Caenorhabditis elegans: one gene and its partner. The protein of the gene in region 1 purifies or fractionates together with the protein of each later gene. This does not show direct contact. Each region holds a gene or a part of one and is shown on either strand. Other genes may lie near its edges.

Region 1 (7,932 bases):
CATCTAAAATCAACAAGTTGAAGTTTAGAGCCGAAAAAAAATCAAAATTGGAATTTTTCACGAATGGCGCAGTGGGTAACACGGATGGTTACCACCCAGAAGGTCACAGGTTCGACCCCCCGTTGGGGTCAATTTTTTTTCTTGTTAAATTTGCTAGGATTCATCAATTTAAATGTCATAGAACACAGCTTAACTTTTAAATACAGATTTTCAACTCTAATTTGTTAAATATCAGTCTAAAATCCATAGTTTCCTAACTGAAAAAATAAAAATAACATATAAACCTAAAGTTTTAAGGTCAGAGCAAAAAAAAAGTCAAAATCCCAATTTTGCACGAATGGCGCAGTGGGTAACACAGATGACTACCACCCAGAAGGTCACGGGTTCGACCCCCTGCTAGGGTCAATATTTTTCTTTTTCACTCATACCAAACAATTTTAAAGCATAGTCTATTTGTTGGTTACGGTAGATGCCGATTCGTCCAAATAAAACGGGCAATTTACGATTTTGTTGATGATAAGATCGATGAGAGACGCAGAGACGGCGGCTGGCTACTCGCAAATTAGTAGTGACCGATATGCGGGGGAAAACTGATGATATCAGCTGATAAGGACATCCGGACACACAGAGCAGTTTTGGACTCAATTTGGGCCATGTATGGCATAGAGCCAATAGCGGTGACCAATTTTCCCTAATTTTTTGTGAGTTGTAACTTAAAAATTCAGATTCTCCGTGAAATTTGGATAGTTTTAACACCCATATTGGCTAGGTTTGAGCAACTTAAATATTTGGGCCGAAATAGGCTGAAATGAACCGAATTCAGGCCTAATATAGGCATGTTCCAAGTCATGATAGTTTTTAACTGCGTTGTCTTTAGCTTTAGAGTTTAAAAAAAATTTTGACTCTAGCGGGGGGTCGAACCCGTGGCCTTCTGGGTCATAGCCATCCCTGTTACCGACTGCGCCACTTGGTCGAAATTTTATTTTTTATCTTTTATTGCCAGAAGAATTATTTTAGGGCATTTTTCAAAGTTTCTGGCGTCAAAATATTGAAATTTTGGGTCGAACTATCCAAAAAACCGGTAAAATTCGAAAAACCCTTTGACAGATTCAAGATCTTAGTAAAAACTGCAAAATGTTACTTGCACACTTTCAAAAAATAATTAAATGTGTGAAACGCAATTGAAAAAAAAATGGCTACGCTGGGGGTCGAACCCGTGACCTTCTGGGTGCCAGCCATCTCTGTGACCTACTGCGCCATTTGAGCAAAAATTTTATTTTCCAACTTTTTTGTGTAATAACTCAAAATTCACGGTTAAAAGCGAATTTTATCGCAAAATCTGCCAATTTTTGTTCCGCAAGTCGTTGTTTTTCAAATTTCCACTGAGTTTTCCTTGTTTACCCCCCTTTCCCCTATGCCCCCTAGGTTCCCCGGGTAATCATTTGTTATCAGCGAGGTCTGCTATACATTTCCCTATTATTTCCGTCTCCAGCTTCTTTCTTCCTCTGCAAACTCTCGAAGCTTCTGCCCCAGTCGGTTACTATGGCAACCCCCTTCTTTAAGCTTCACCCCCTTCGTCCCGCTTAGACCCTTTATTCTCGATTTCCCGCATTTTATTATGTTTTTACTGAAATTTTTAGGTTTTAGGTATTAGAAATAGGTTGGTTAAAAAGTTTTGGAAAAGTTTAGTGAGTTTTGGAAATTTTTAGAATTTTTTAGAGCTAATTTTCGATTTTCCTGGAAATTATGTCCGATTTTGCGGTTTTTTGCAAATTTTTTGACCAAAACCTTGAAAAAAATGATTTTTTGTTAGTTAAAATTAGTTTTAGAAACGTTTTTTGAAAAATTTTTTTTTGGCATTTTTTCGAAAAAAAATGTTTTTTTCAAAAACAAAAAAAATTTTCCAGATTTCTCGTGTATGTCAGACGATGAGTGGGGAGATTTATTAGATGTGCGTTTTCAGCATATTTTCAAAAAAAAATTCGATATTTTATTCAGAATTTAGACACCGAACCACCCCAGCCAGCACCACCACCTCCCCCCAATTTGCCGGGAAATTCGAAAAATTCGCGGCCGAAAAGTAGTGGACTAGATTTTTTATTGGACTCTGACTTGGATAAGGTGATTTTGTGACTTCTTTTTGGGAAAAAACTGCGAAAAATCCAAAAAAAAAAGGCTTTTGGCCTATTTTGGCCTGAATTTTGGATGATGCTATAAGACTGATTTTCAGGAACCGCAGGCACCTAAAACTGTAAATTTTGCAACAAACCGGGAAGAAAATACATCTGAAATGAGAGCGGTAAGTTTAAAAAAAAAAATGTTTTTTGAAAATTTTTTTATTTTTTTTCTTGACCCAAATTTTTCTAAAAATCTGTATTTCAACGTTTTTATCTTACCTTAAGCTTTAAAATGACACCCATATCGCCTATACCCCGTTAATTTTCATTTTTGGATCAACTTTTGGGTGCCTACAGTATCCTCGTGGCGGGACCCTAAACATCAAAATTACGGGATTCTAAGCAATATTGGGGTTATTTGAAAGCTGGTAATATCATAAATGGCCTATCGAAGAGTAACATTCCAAAAATAAGACATTTTTCAAAAAAAAAATTTTTTTCAAAATTTCGAAAAAAAATTATTTTTCAAAATTTCCTAAATTCAGGCTGGTCGTTCTACAAATGCTCTCAGCGACCTATTTGGCACAAGCACGGGCTCTGGGCTTGGAGCATCAGGTGCGGCGTCGGCTCCACGGAGACCCGCAGGCGCCTCCACCCTCGACGACCTTTTTGGCACGGCGCCAAGAGCTGCTACAGTAACCCCAGGGGTTACTGTAGCCGCTCCGGCGGCTTCACAGCCAACGGCTACTGCTCCACCACCGGATAATTTTGATGCGGGAAGGATTTTGAGGTAAATTTGAAATTTTCGAAAAAAATTTTTTTTTCAAAAATTCAAAAAAAACTTAATTTTTAATTTTTGTTAATTTTCGTTACTTTATCACTTTCAGCTCACTGAGAGCTTTAAAATGACACCCATATCGGCTATACTACCCTAATTTTTCAAAATTTGGGCATTCTTCGAGTACCTACAGTACCCTTCGTAGCGGGACCCAAAAATCGGAAATTAGAGGACTATGGGCATAATGGATGTTATTTTGAAGCTAAAAAGCTGAAAAATGAGATAAATCAAACAAAAATTATCTGAAATCGATAATTTTGAGAAAATTTCAAAATTTAACGTTTTCGAAAAACACATTTTTTGAATTTTTTTCAAAAATTCGAAAAATTTCAAATTCAAATTTTTGTTCGTTTTTTGATATTTTATCGCCTTCAGCTCTCTGAGAGCTTCAAAATAACACCCATATCGGCTAGTTTCCGTCATTTTTCAAAATTTTAGAATATTTCGGGTGCCTACAGTACCACTCGTGGAGGGACCCAAAATCCAAAAACTAGAGGGTTCTGAGCATTATTGGGGTTATTTTGGAGCTGAAAACGTGAAAAATCGATCAAAAATAAATACTTTAATCATAAATCAATAAATATTGAGAAAATTTTGAAATTAAAAATTTTCGAAAAAAAAAATTTTTTGAAATTTTTTTTTCAAAAATTCAAAAAAAAATTTTAATTTTTAATTTTTTTAAATTTTGGCTATTTTATCACCTTCAGCTCACTGGGAGCTTCAAAATGACACCCATATCGGCTATACTACCCTAATTGTTCAAAATTTGGGCATTATTCGGGTACTACAGTACCCCTCGTGGCGGGACCCAAAATCCAAAAATTAGAGGATTATGGGCATAATTGGTGTTTTTGATGCTGAAAAATAGAGAAATCAATAAAGTCGATAGGAAATCAGCTTTAAAAAAACTTTCTTTGAAATTTTTTTTTCAAAAATTCAAAAAAAGTTATTTTTTAATTTTTGGTAATTTTGTTTTTTTTTCAGTATTTTATCACCTTCAGCTCACTGAGAGCTTCAAAATAACACCCATATCGGCTAGGTTCCGTCGTTTTTTTTTTAAATAAGAGCATAATGGATGTTTTTTTAGGCTAAAAAATGAAAAAATCGATAAAATCGATAGGAAATCAGCTAAAATCGGTAATTTTGAAAAAATTTTGAAATTCAAAATTTTTGGAAAATTTTTTTTTTAATTTTATATCAAAAATCAAATTCTGGAACAAATTTCTCAATTTTTTTCAAATTTCAGACTAGAAGCCGAGCTAGAACGTGTAAACCGTGAGCTTGAAGACACAAAACGCAAGAAACGAGAAGACGAGGAAGATTTGGAGAATTTCTGGAAAACCAAGCTGGAAATCCAGTCAAAAGACTCGGAAAAGGCACTGGAAGACTCAAAAACTGCACAAAGAGCACAAATTTCAAAGCTTCAAGATGAGCATCACGTGGAGCTCGAAAGGCTTAAAGCCAATTACGATAGGCAGCTAGAGAATGTGACGTCATCGACGAGTCAGGTTGGGGATCTAGTGGCAGTGGTGGGGAAAGTGGATACAATTTCTACGAATATTGATAAAATTGCGGCGGATGTGGTGTAAGTTGACTATGTGCCTTTAAAATTGAAAAATATTAAAAAATCGGTTTAAAAAATTTTAAAAATCGAAAAATTCGCCCCAAAACTTCAAAATTTTAAAATTTTGAGCAGATTTTCTGATTCTCCGTGCAAAATTACCCCTAACCCTCAATTTTCAGATTCAGATTTTTTGTGCAACTTTGCGTCAAATCCGGTGTCTTGAGTTACTGTACCTCGGTGTTTGCGTACCTGACACCTGATTTTACGGAATTTTGAGTTAGAGCTCTGAAAAATTAGGGAAAGAGGTAGTTTGGCATGGGTAATCTGGAAAATTATATAAAAATTTCAGGAAGTTTTTGGAAAACGCTGAAATTTTAGTAAAATCCAAAAAAGGTCAAAAATTCACAAACCAAGTGCGCAAACTTGGCCCAAAATTCAAAATGTTTGAATTTTGAGCTCATTTTCTGATTCTCCGTGCAAAACCACTCCTAGGCCTCAATTTTCAGATTTTTAGTGCAACTTTGCGTCAAATTTGGTGTGTTGGTACCTTCAGTAGTACCTTGGTGTTTGCGGACTGGACACCTGATTTTACGGAATTTTTGAAATTTTCGGGATAGGGGTAACTTGGCATGGGGAATCTGAAAATTCACACAAAAATTTATGAAACTTGAAAAAAAATCTTGAAATTTTAGAAAAAACAATTCAAAAATTAAAAAATTCGGGCCAAATCTTGGCCCAAACTTTGAAATTTTGAGCAGATTTTCTGATTATCCGTGCGAAGTTACCCCTAATCCTCCATTTTCAGATTTTTAGTGCAACTTTGCGTGAAATTCGGTGTCTTGGGTTACTGTACCTTGGTGTTTGCGGACCTGACACCTGATTTTACGGAATTTGGAGCTAGAGCTCTGAAAAACTAGGTCTAGGGTAGTTTTGGATGGGGAATCTGAAAATAGACATGAAAATTTCTGAAAATTTACAGAATCCTCTAAAAATCCTGAAAAAGTTGAAAAATCATGATTTACGCAAAACAGTCCTTAAAAATTTGTTTTTTTTCAAATTTTTCCTTCAGAGCTATTGATTCTGGTGCTAAAAACAAATTACAAGTATTGATTTTCCAGAGCAAGCACCAATAAAGTGAGCTCGGAGCAAAGCGCTCTTTTCCACTTGCAAGAGGAACTGCTGAAAATTCGAGAGACAAAGTGAGTCATATCTCAGTAGCCAAGCTTGCTATCAAAAAATTGTCAACTAACAACTTGTAGCTCTTGTTACGGAGCACATTTTGTCAGTTGAAAATTTTTCGATAGCTCTGCGGGTTCTCAAGTTATGAAGCTTCAGGCTCTCCGAGGATGTGGCGGCTCTGAAGCTTGAGCAACTGAAAGTTCATGAGCTTAACCTAAGCTTGAAGGATTTGGTCAAAAATCAACAGGATGAAAATGAACAAGTATGTAATTAGAGTACAATGTTTAAAATGTATTGGAAAGTTTTGAAATTTTTGAAATTTTTTTTTTAATTTTCAAAAAAAATTTTGAAAAATTTTTTTAAAAATTTTTTCTGAAAATTTCCAAAAATTCAAGGAAAAATGGAGGACAAAAGAGGAGTGGAACCGTCTGAAAATTGAACGTCAAATTTTCAAGGAAAATCAAGACCGAGTCATTGAAAATGTGCAGAGAGAGAAGCTGGACCTGGCTAATAAATTGGTATGCTCCCCCCTCAAAATTTTTGGAATTTTTATAAAATACGCTCAAACATTTCAGAAATTCTACCACAAAGATCAAACCGAGCTGCTTTTCCGGCTGAGCAGTGAACGGGAGCTTTTGGAGCAGGAGAAGAGCGAATTCTTTGCGTAAGTTGGGTTATCAACAGAGCTACGGGGAAATCTAAACTAGTAAAGCGCAAAATTTTGAACATTTTCTTAGTTGGAAATTTTTCGCTAGCTATCACCGTTGCAGAGATACACCGCTTCAAAGTCTGCGCGCGAAATAGTGTGGGGGAGGAGAGACGCAGGCGCGCACCCTGCGTCTCTCCCCCCTCCACACTGTCTCGTCGCTGTAACTTTAAAGGCGCATAACTCTTCAGCCGGTAGAGATATCAAAAAATTTTCAACTGCAAAAATAATCAGCGTGAAATTCTGCGTCGGGTGAGCTATTCTATAAAAATTTTTCGACTGCCGGGTGGCTCAGTTGGGTAGAGAGATGGCTATCACGCACAGGTCCCTGGTTCGATTCCTTGTATAATATTGATGAGAATTATACGTTTTTTTTTCTAGAAAACGGGACCAGGACATCAAGAGAATCAAAGCAGAAGCCTACGAGCTGGATCTGAAATCTCAGCAAATTTCTACGGCTGACCAACATGTGACGGAGATGAAGCTGGTGACAGAGGCCAAGTACAGACAGGTTGGTTGTAAATTTATCGATTTTTTGAAAAATTATCGATCTTTTGGAAAAATTATCGATTTTTTGAGAAAGATCGATTTTTCGGAAAAATATCATTTTTTTGGAAAATGTATCGATTTTTAGGAGTTTTATCTATTTTTTGAAAAATTTATCGATTTTTTGGAAAATGTATCGATTTTTAGGAATTTTATCGATTTTTTGAGAAATTTATCGATTTTTTGAGAAATTTATCGATTTTTTGGAAAATGTATCGATTTTTCCCAATTTTCCCACTTTAAAAATCCCCAAAATTCCTTCAGCTTCAACACCTCGAGACCCTGCTCACCGCCGAATGCTCGGAAATCGAAAGAATCCGAAATGAGCAAAAAATCGGTGGAAACGTGGATTCGGGCCGGGACGCACGAAGAATAAGCCGTGAGGAGGAGCTGTTTGGTTCGAATAATTCCAATCAAAATAGTCATCGACATCGATCGGAAAGTGTTCGGGCTTCACTCAAAAAACACTATGAAAATTTGGAAAAATACGCCGGGCAGAAGGTTGCTCATGTTGCGCCGCAGAATAATTGAGTGATTATCGAGTTTTTGGTGGAAATATCGATTTTTTAAAGAATTATTGATTTTTGATTTTTTACGACTACAATTGTGATAAAAAATGTAGAATATTGTAATGTTTTGAAATAATAAATTTATTATCGATTTTTTTTAAATTTCGATGGATTTATCGATTTTTTGGTGAAAATATTGATTTTTTTAAGAATTATCGATTTTCGGCATTTTTATAACTAAAATTGTGAATTAGTACATTTTCAGTCAATTTTTGGCGGGAAATTCAAAAATTCAAATTTTCAATTAATTTTTGGCGGGAAATTCAAATTTTCAGTCAATTTTTGGCGGGAAATTTGAAAATTCAAAGTTTCAATTAATTTTTGGCGGGAAATTCAAATTTTCAGTCAATTTTTGGCGGGAAATTTAAAATTTCAATCAATTTTTGGCGGGAAATTCAAATTTTCAGTCAATT
Region 2 (5,491 bases), on another chromosome or scaffold:
ATTTCTCTATTAGTCTTGCTTGCAAAATTAATTTTCGCATTGCTCGTAGGGGGTGCAAGACTAATAGAAGCTGCAGGACTAATAGAGGAAATACGGTATATAGTTGTACGTTATAAATTTTTCAAAAGTTTTCAGCTTTTGAATGCCAATTCAGCGTGGCTGCTCATTAGGAAACTACTGAATTTATACATGAGAATAATAATTTTTTAACGAATATACTTGCAAAAAAAAAGTGTTGTCTCGCACCTTTTTTTTCTCTTCTGGGGGTTTCCGAAGATTTTGGATATTCAATATGTAATTTCAAATATGAAGTCTCTTCAACGAAGAAAATATCAAACAATTTATTTCAGGTGCTGAAGCTGGGAAATATAATATAAGAAAAACGGGAAACCCCCGTTCACATTGACAATTATGGCTGAATGTACATACCCGAATTTGAGTTAGTTTCGCGCGCGAATGATGTTTTGCGGAAATTCAATCTTATTGTTTTTTGTACATATATATGCTTATTGTGATTGATTTCTTTATATTTTGTTGATAGTTTTCTATATACAGAAAGTTTTCAAATATTTTTCAAAAATGAACCTCTTTCTAAAAAATAATGGACCTTCTGGAAATTTTTCTAAAAATTCATGGCGATTCAAATTTCATTTTTTAATTGAATTTTCATTACTGAAAACGGACTTTTCTCGGTTTTTTTCTTCAATTTTTGAAACGTGCTGAAATGTACTATTCAATAAAATCCAATAATCCTGAAAAGTAGACCACAACGTAGCACACACGAGTAATTAGCGTGTTCCCTTTTTTTGTTGGTCTCTGAAATCGTGGCAATACGTGGATTCAAAAATTCATAAAATATGACGTCACAAATTTTTACATAGTGCAATTTTCATTTAAAAAATCATCGTGGCGTCAAAGCATTAAAGCCATGTGGCGCCCTAATTTCCAGAGGTCAACCTAAGATGGGACAATCTAAATACCCATAACCACAAGAAAGTAGAAAAAAAAATGGATTGTATTATTATGTTTGTCCATATAAAAAGATAAATAAAAATTAGAATTATTGACCAAATTAGTTTGTTTTTTTTTAAATAAGTAGTCTAGTATACTTGTAACTATATATTTTTCTAACGCCTACTACAAATGACGTCATATTCAATTTCAGCTGCCTTAAACAAATGACATTTTTTACGTTTCGTTCATATAGCCTATTTCACGTTTTTGCCTACTATTCTAGATTTTGGAACTTATGTTTTTTTTTAAACGAAAGTTATAAGTACCTCAATATTAAACAGGAAATTATAAATTTAAACATATCTCTACAATAAATGTTAGCATTCGGCTTATAAACAATTTGTTTATGTTTTTATCAAATAAAAACAGTGTATATTTAAATAAAGGATTATTTCTATTTGATTTCCACAATCGCGGGAAACCTCTGAACATTAAATCATAATTTTTGATCTACATGAGAAGCTTCTACTTTGTTTTTATAGAGCTAAGAACGAGTCAATGAAAAAATTATATTGTTAGATGAAGATTGTTTTCCTAAAAGTTTCGATGTGATTTTCATAATATATGTAAATCTGCTAAAAACAAAATTTTCCACGATTTCTTGTACTGGTCGCAATTTGACCACCATTTATAACATTCCAGTCTACTTTCTTCTTTGTTTTCACCCATTTTTCTGACGTATTATATAATCAGAAAAAAATACAATATATTGTGCGAAAATTAAAGAATTGTAATCAGTCACAAAATACCTCAACTAAGACACATTATTCTGCTGCTCTCATCGTCTCACGCACTCTTTGCGCGTAAGGTGGTCTCCATGACAACGTGCCCCCTGCCTCAACAACTCGCCACACAGCGCCACCTGATATTAGCGTGCTCTCTCTCTCTTGCGTGTATTACCGCTGTTTCATTCCTCTTTTTTGTCAGCATTTTTCACCTTAATATTGTTTTTCATGTATTTCATGTTTTTCGCAACTTGTAATGAGATTTTTGCAGTAAAAGTGCGATGAGCGTTGAGGAAACTCGGGAAATTCTTGAGAAAGTAATTCAAAAACCACAACTAACTGATCAACTGCTTTCACGACCACCATTCAAATTTATTGTTGATATAGTTAGCAATGTGATAAAGTCTACGGGGTATTTGAAGGTGGGTATTTGAAAATTTTATTCATAATAAAAAATTATGCGCGAAAATGTAGATTTTAAGAAATGTAATGTGGTATGAGAAAAAAAGAGAAAAAACCAGTGCCCAACTTTAGTTTTAAAGTTTTCGTTTGTCAGTGATGCGAAGTTTTTGGTCAGTGCTGTGCCAAGTTACTCAGTGCTGTGCCAACTTGGTCAGCGCATAAATTTTCGCTAAATTTTCATTTTAACAGACTGACTTCACCGACGATGAAATAAAGTCCGCTGGCAACGACAAAAACACCAAAACTGCCTTTCTTGACAAGCTGATCAAGATTCTAGATGACGGAAGTCTCAAAAACGTCAAAGCCGCCAAAATAATATCGGGGAAGGACGCGGAAGAAACCAACAAAGTGAGTTTACATTCTATTAACAAGAAATATCTGTAATGAAAAAAGAAGGCGCAGAATTTTAAACAGAATTTACAATTCGATGTGAAGTCGCTTCAATCAAATTTTAAAAAATCTGGTCAATCAGAAATTTTTTTTTAACTTAAAAAAAAAATTCGATTTCTTCCGTAAATTATATCAAACTAAATTAGTGCCCTAATCATTTTTTCTATTTAAATTTTCTGATTTTTTGTGATAAAAATATGCTTAATAGTAAGATAAAGTATTTAAGCCGTTTTCAACTTGGTCAGTGCATTACCAGATTGGTCAGTGCTACACCAAGTTAGCCATTGCTTTCGCTCGTCTCAGTTCTTAGTGCTTTTTTTACCTTTTACATTTATTCAGATGCTGCAAATGTTGGGAACAAATGCTACGAGTTTCAATTCAAGGAATGGTACCGGAGAGGAGAAAAAGAAGAAAAAAGTAAAGAAAGAGGACAAAAAGGGAGATGAAGAAGAGAAGTCAACTACTAAAAAACGTAGCAGTAAGAAGGTAGAGTGCACTTTTAAATATTTGTTTCCCCATAAACTCAGTTTTATCATTTTAAGGAAACGCATGAAGAGAAGGAAAAATCGGAGAAGAAAAAATCTGCAGAAGAGAAAGAGAAGAAGAAAAAGTCTTCGAGTTCAAAAGAACGGCATAAGTCTAGTGACAGGTCTAGCGAAAAGTCAAGCGAAAAGTCCAGCAAGGAGAAAAAGAAGGAAAAGAGCACAACAGACGAAAAACCCAAAAAGAGCAAAAAAGACCCGAGTGAACGGCATTTTAAACGACAAGACTCAATGATTGCTGTGAATGGAGATGCACCGGATACTCCGAACAATGAGAATGGAGATGAGGGTTATGACGATCATGAGATTTCTGAACCAACTGTTATATCAAATATGGAAACTGATTTGTCAGCTCAATCACTACTGATCCAACAGCCAGTGACGTCACCCTTGAAAACTGATGATAGTGGGATGGGTGAGAGCCCGAGAATGATCAAGCCCGAAGATAGACCCCCGTTGATAAGGTAACCTCTTACGGATTGGGTTTATCTTCAGTTCATTTTAAAAAATGTAGTGCACACTTAAATAATTTTCTGAAATTGAATTATCCGGCAAATTTTTGGCTTCAACATTGTTGGTTTACTCCTTCTTTGACCAACATTTTTTCAAATTCTAGAATAAGTTGTCAAAGTGAAATTTACACTGAGATTGAGATGATGATACACACAGTTTAATCAGCTTTTGACATAGAAAATTCCAGACCAATGACTGGTGCTGGAGGTGGTAGACCTATGACATCAATGGGAAGACCCGGAACCGCGGCTTCAAGGCCAGCGCCTCCAAAACTGAAAAAGAAACAAATTGCGACTGTTGACTCAACGCCACAAGTGGTAATAACATTGTTAATCAGTTTATTAATTCAATTTTGATACCACTTTAGGTAGTCGAACTCAAATCGGAAATCATCAGCGATGCTCCAAAAGTGGAAACCGAAGACGATAGCAATTTTATAATGGAAAATGACGAGGAAGATGGTGATAGAACCGCTAGAATTGAAGATTTAGTTGATGAAGAAGATAGAGGAGCTTTGGTGCAAAAAATCATGGAGACGAAGGCTGAAATTGAAGATGGAGGAGGACAGGATCAGGTTGAAGAGTCCGATGCTGATAAAATTATGACAGTTGAAAGAGAAAAGATGAAGCAACTGCAGGAGAAGCTTCAGGATTTAACAAGATCTGCTTATCCGCTAGCAAGGCTTTTTGATTTTGCAAATGTGAGTTTAATGAATTTCAGACAGTTTGAAAAACTTGGAAATGCCCGAAATTTTCCGGGCTCCTACGAATTTATACAGACAACGGAAGATGCTAGGGCTTTCAAATGAAAGTTGTTTTGGATGATGTATTGATACATACCGTATTTTCTCACTACCTTTGCACTACTTTACTTTGACAGCTTATGCATATCGTGAATTTTTTTTAATCAACATTTTTTAATTGGGGTTTTTTTTATATTTAATTTCAGTGCACGTAAGTACTATTTTACACATAAAATCAATTTTTTGACATTACATTCGTTATAAAAAATATATTTTTCAGGACGACATCGAATCAATGATTAAAGAACTGGAGCGATGGAGAAGTGAGCAGCGACGGAATGAGCAAGAGGATCAGAACAAAAAAGCGGCAGGATTCGGAGACAGCAGTAGACTCTACAACATCATCGCAAACTTACAAAAAGAAATCAATGACACGAAAGAAGAATTGAGCAAGGCTAGAGGACGAGTTCTCAACAATGAAAAACGCATTCAACTATTCATTTCCAATGTTTGATCTTTCAGTTTTCCCTATTCAGAAGGAGATTTTCATTTTATTGAATTAAATGAAAAGATAAACAAATAAATTATTTTATATTACTTAGAGCTTTGATACAATGTTACAAATTCGAATGAAAATTGAAGTTGCACCAATATGTTGTTGTAACTAAAACTAAAACTAAAATGTAACTAAAATGTTGTAACTAACAAAATGTTTTGTTTAGGTCCAACACTATTTCTTATTGGAGACAAAGTGGAGGAAATTTCCAATGCCACTCCTTAGCTAATTAATTATTAATTGTCTAAAAAGTCCTTTTCAGGATTAGTTTTAAATTCCCGAGCGTTCAACACTTTTTTTGATTGACAATGGCTTTTTCAAATTTACAATCAAGTTTATATCAAGTTTATAATTTATTTGTAACCCAAACAAAGAAAAAGAAACGTTTTTAACAGACCAGTTTGTTGGAATAACACAAAACTCAAGACGGATGGGATAAAAAAGTTGAATTAGTGCCCGATGGGCAGTCATTCGATGGTTTTGAAAAGAAAAAAGAACCCGCATGGGCAATGCAAAAAGGAAAAATGAACATTTTGATAAAATTACA

Evidence for each region.
Region 2: the proteins of dyf-19 (region 1) and dyf-11 purify together in Caenorhabditis elegans (affinity purification with western blotting, with the first as the bait; one study listed by BioGRID). This does not show direct contact.

Annotation. Positions count from the first base shown.
Region 1 is NC_003283.11:19,623,144-19,631,075, forward strand, and holds dyf-19 (Fas-binding factor 1 C-terminal domain-containing protein), read left to right. Parts: upstream 1-1,905; 5' UTR 1,906-1,918; coding exon 1,919-1,951; intron 1,952-1,998; coding exon 1,999-2,121; intron 2,122-2,230; coding exon 2,231-2,299; intron 2,300-2,662; coding exon 2,663-2,907; intron 2,908-4,201; coding exon 4,202-4,540; intron 4,541-4,743; exon of another isoform or gene 4,744-4,801; intron 4,802-5,637; coding exon 5,638-5,718; intron 5,719-5,854; coding exon 5,855-5,960; intron 5,961-6,093; coding exon 6,094-6,216; intron 6,217-6,273; coding exon 6,274-6,362; intron 6,363-6,684; exon of another isoform or gene 6,685-6,756; intron 6,757-6,785; coding exon 6,786-6,915; intron 6,916-7,214; coding exon 7,215-7,481; 3' UTR 7,482-7,618; downstream 7,619-7,932.
Region 2 is NC_003284.9:761,749-767,239, forward strand, and holds dyf-11 (TRAF3-interacting protein 1), read left to right. Parts: upstream 1-2,003; 5' UTR 2,004-2,020; coding exon 2,021-2,161; intron 2,162-2,390; coding exon 2,391-2,549; intron 2,550-2,930; coding exon 2,931-3,077; intron 3,078-3,133; coding exon 3,134-3,597; intron 3,598-3,833; coding exon 3,834-3,963; intron 3,964-4,013; coding exon 4,014-4,346; intron 4,347-4,668; coding exon 4,669-4,902; 3' UTR 4,903-4,991; downstream 4,992-5,491.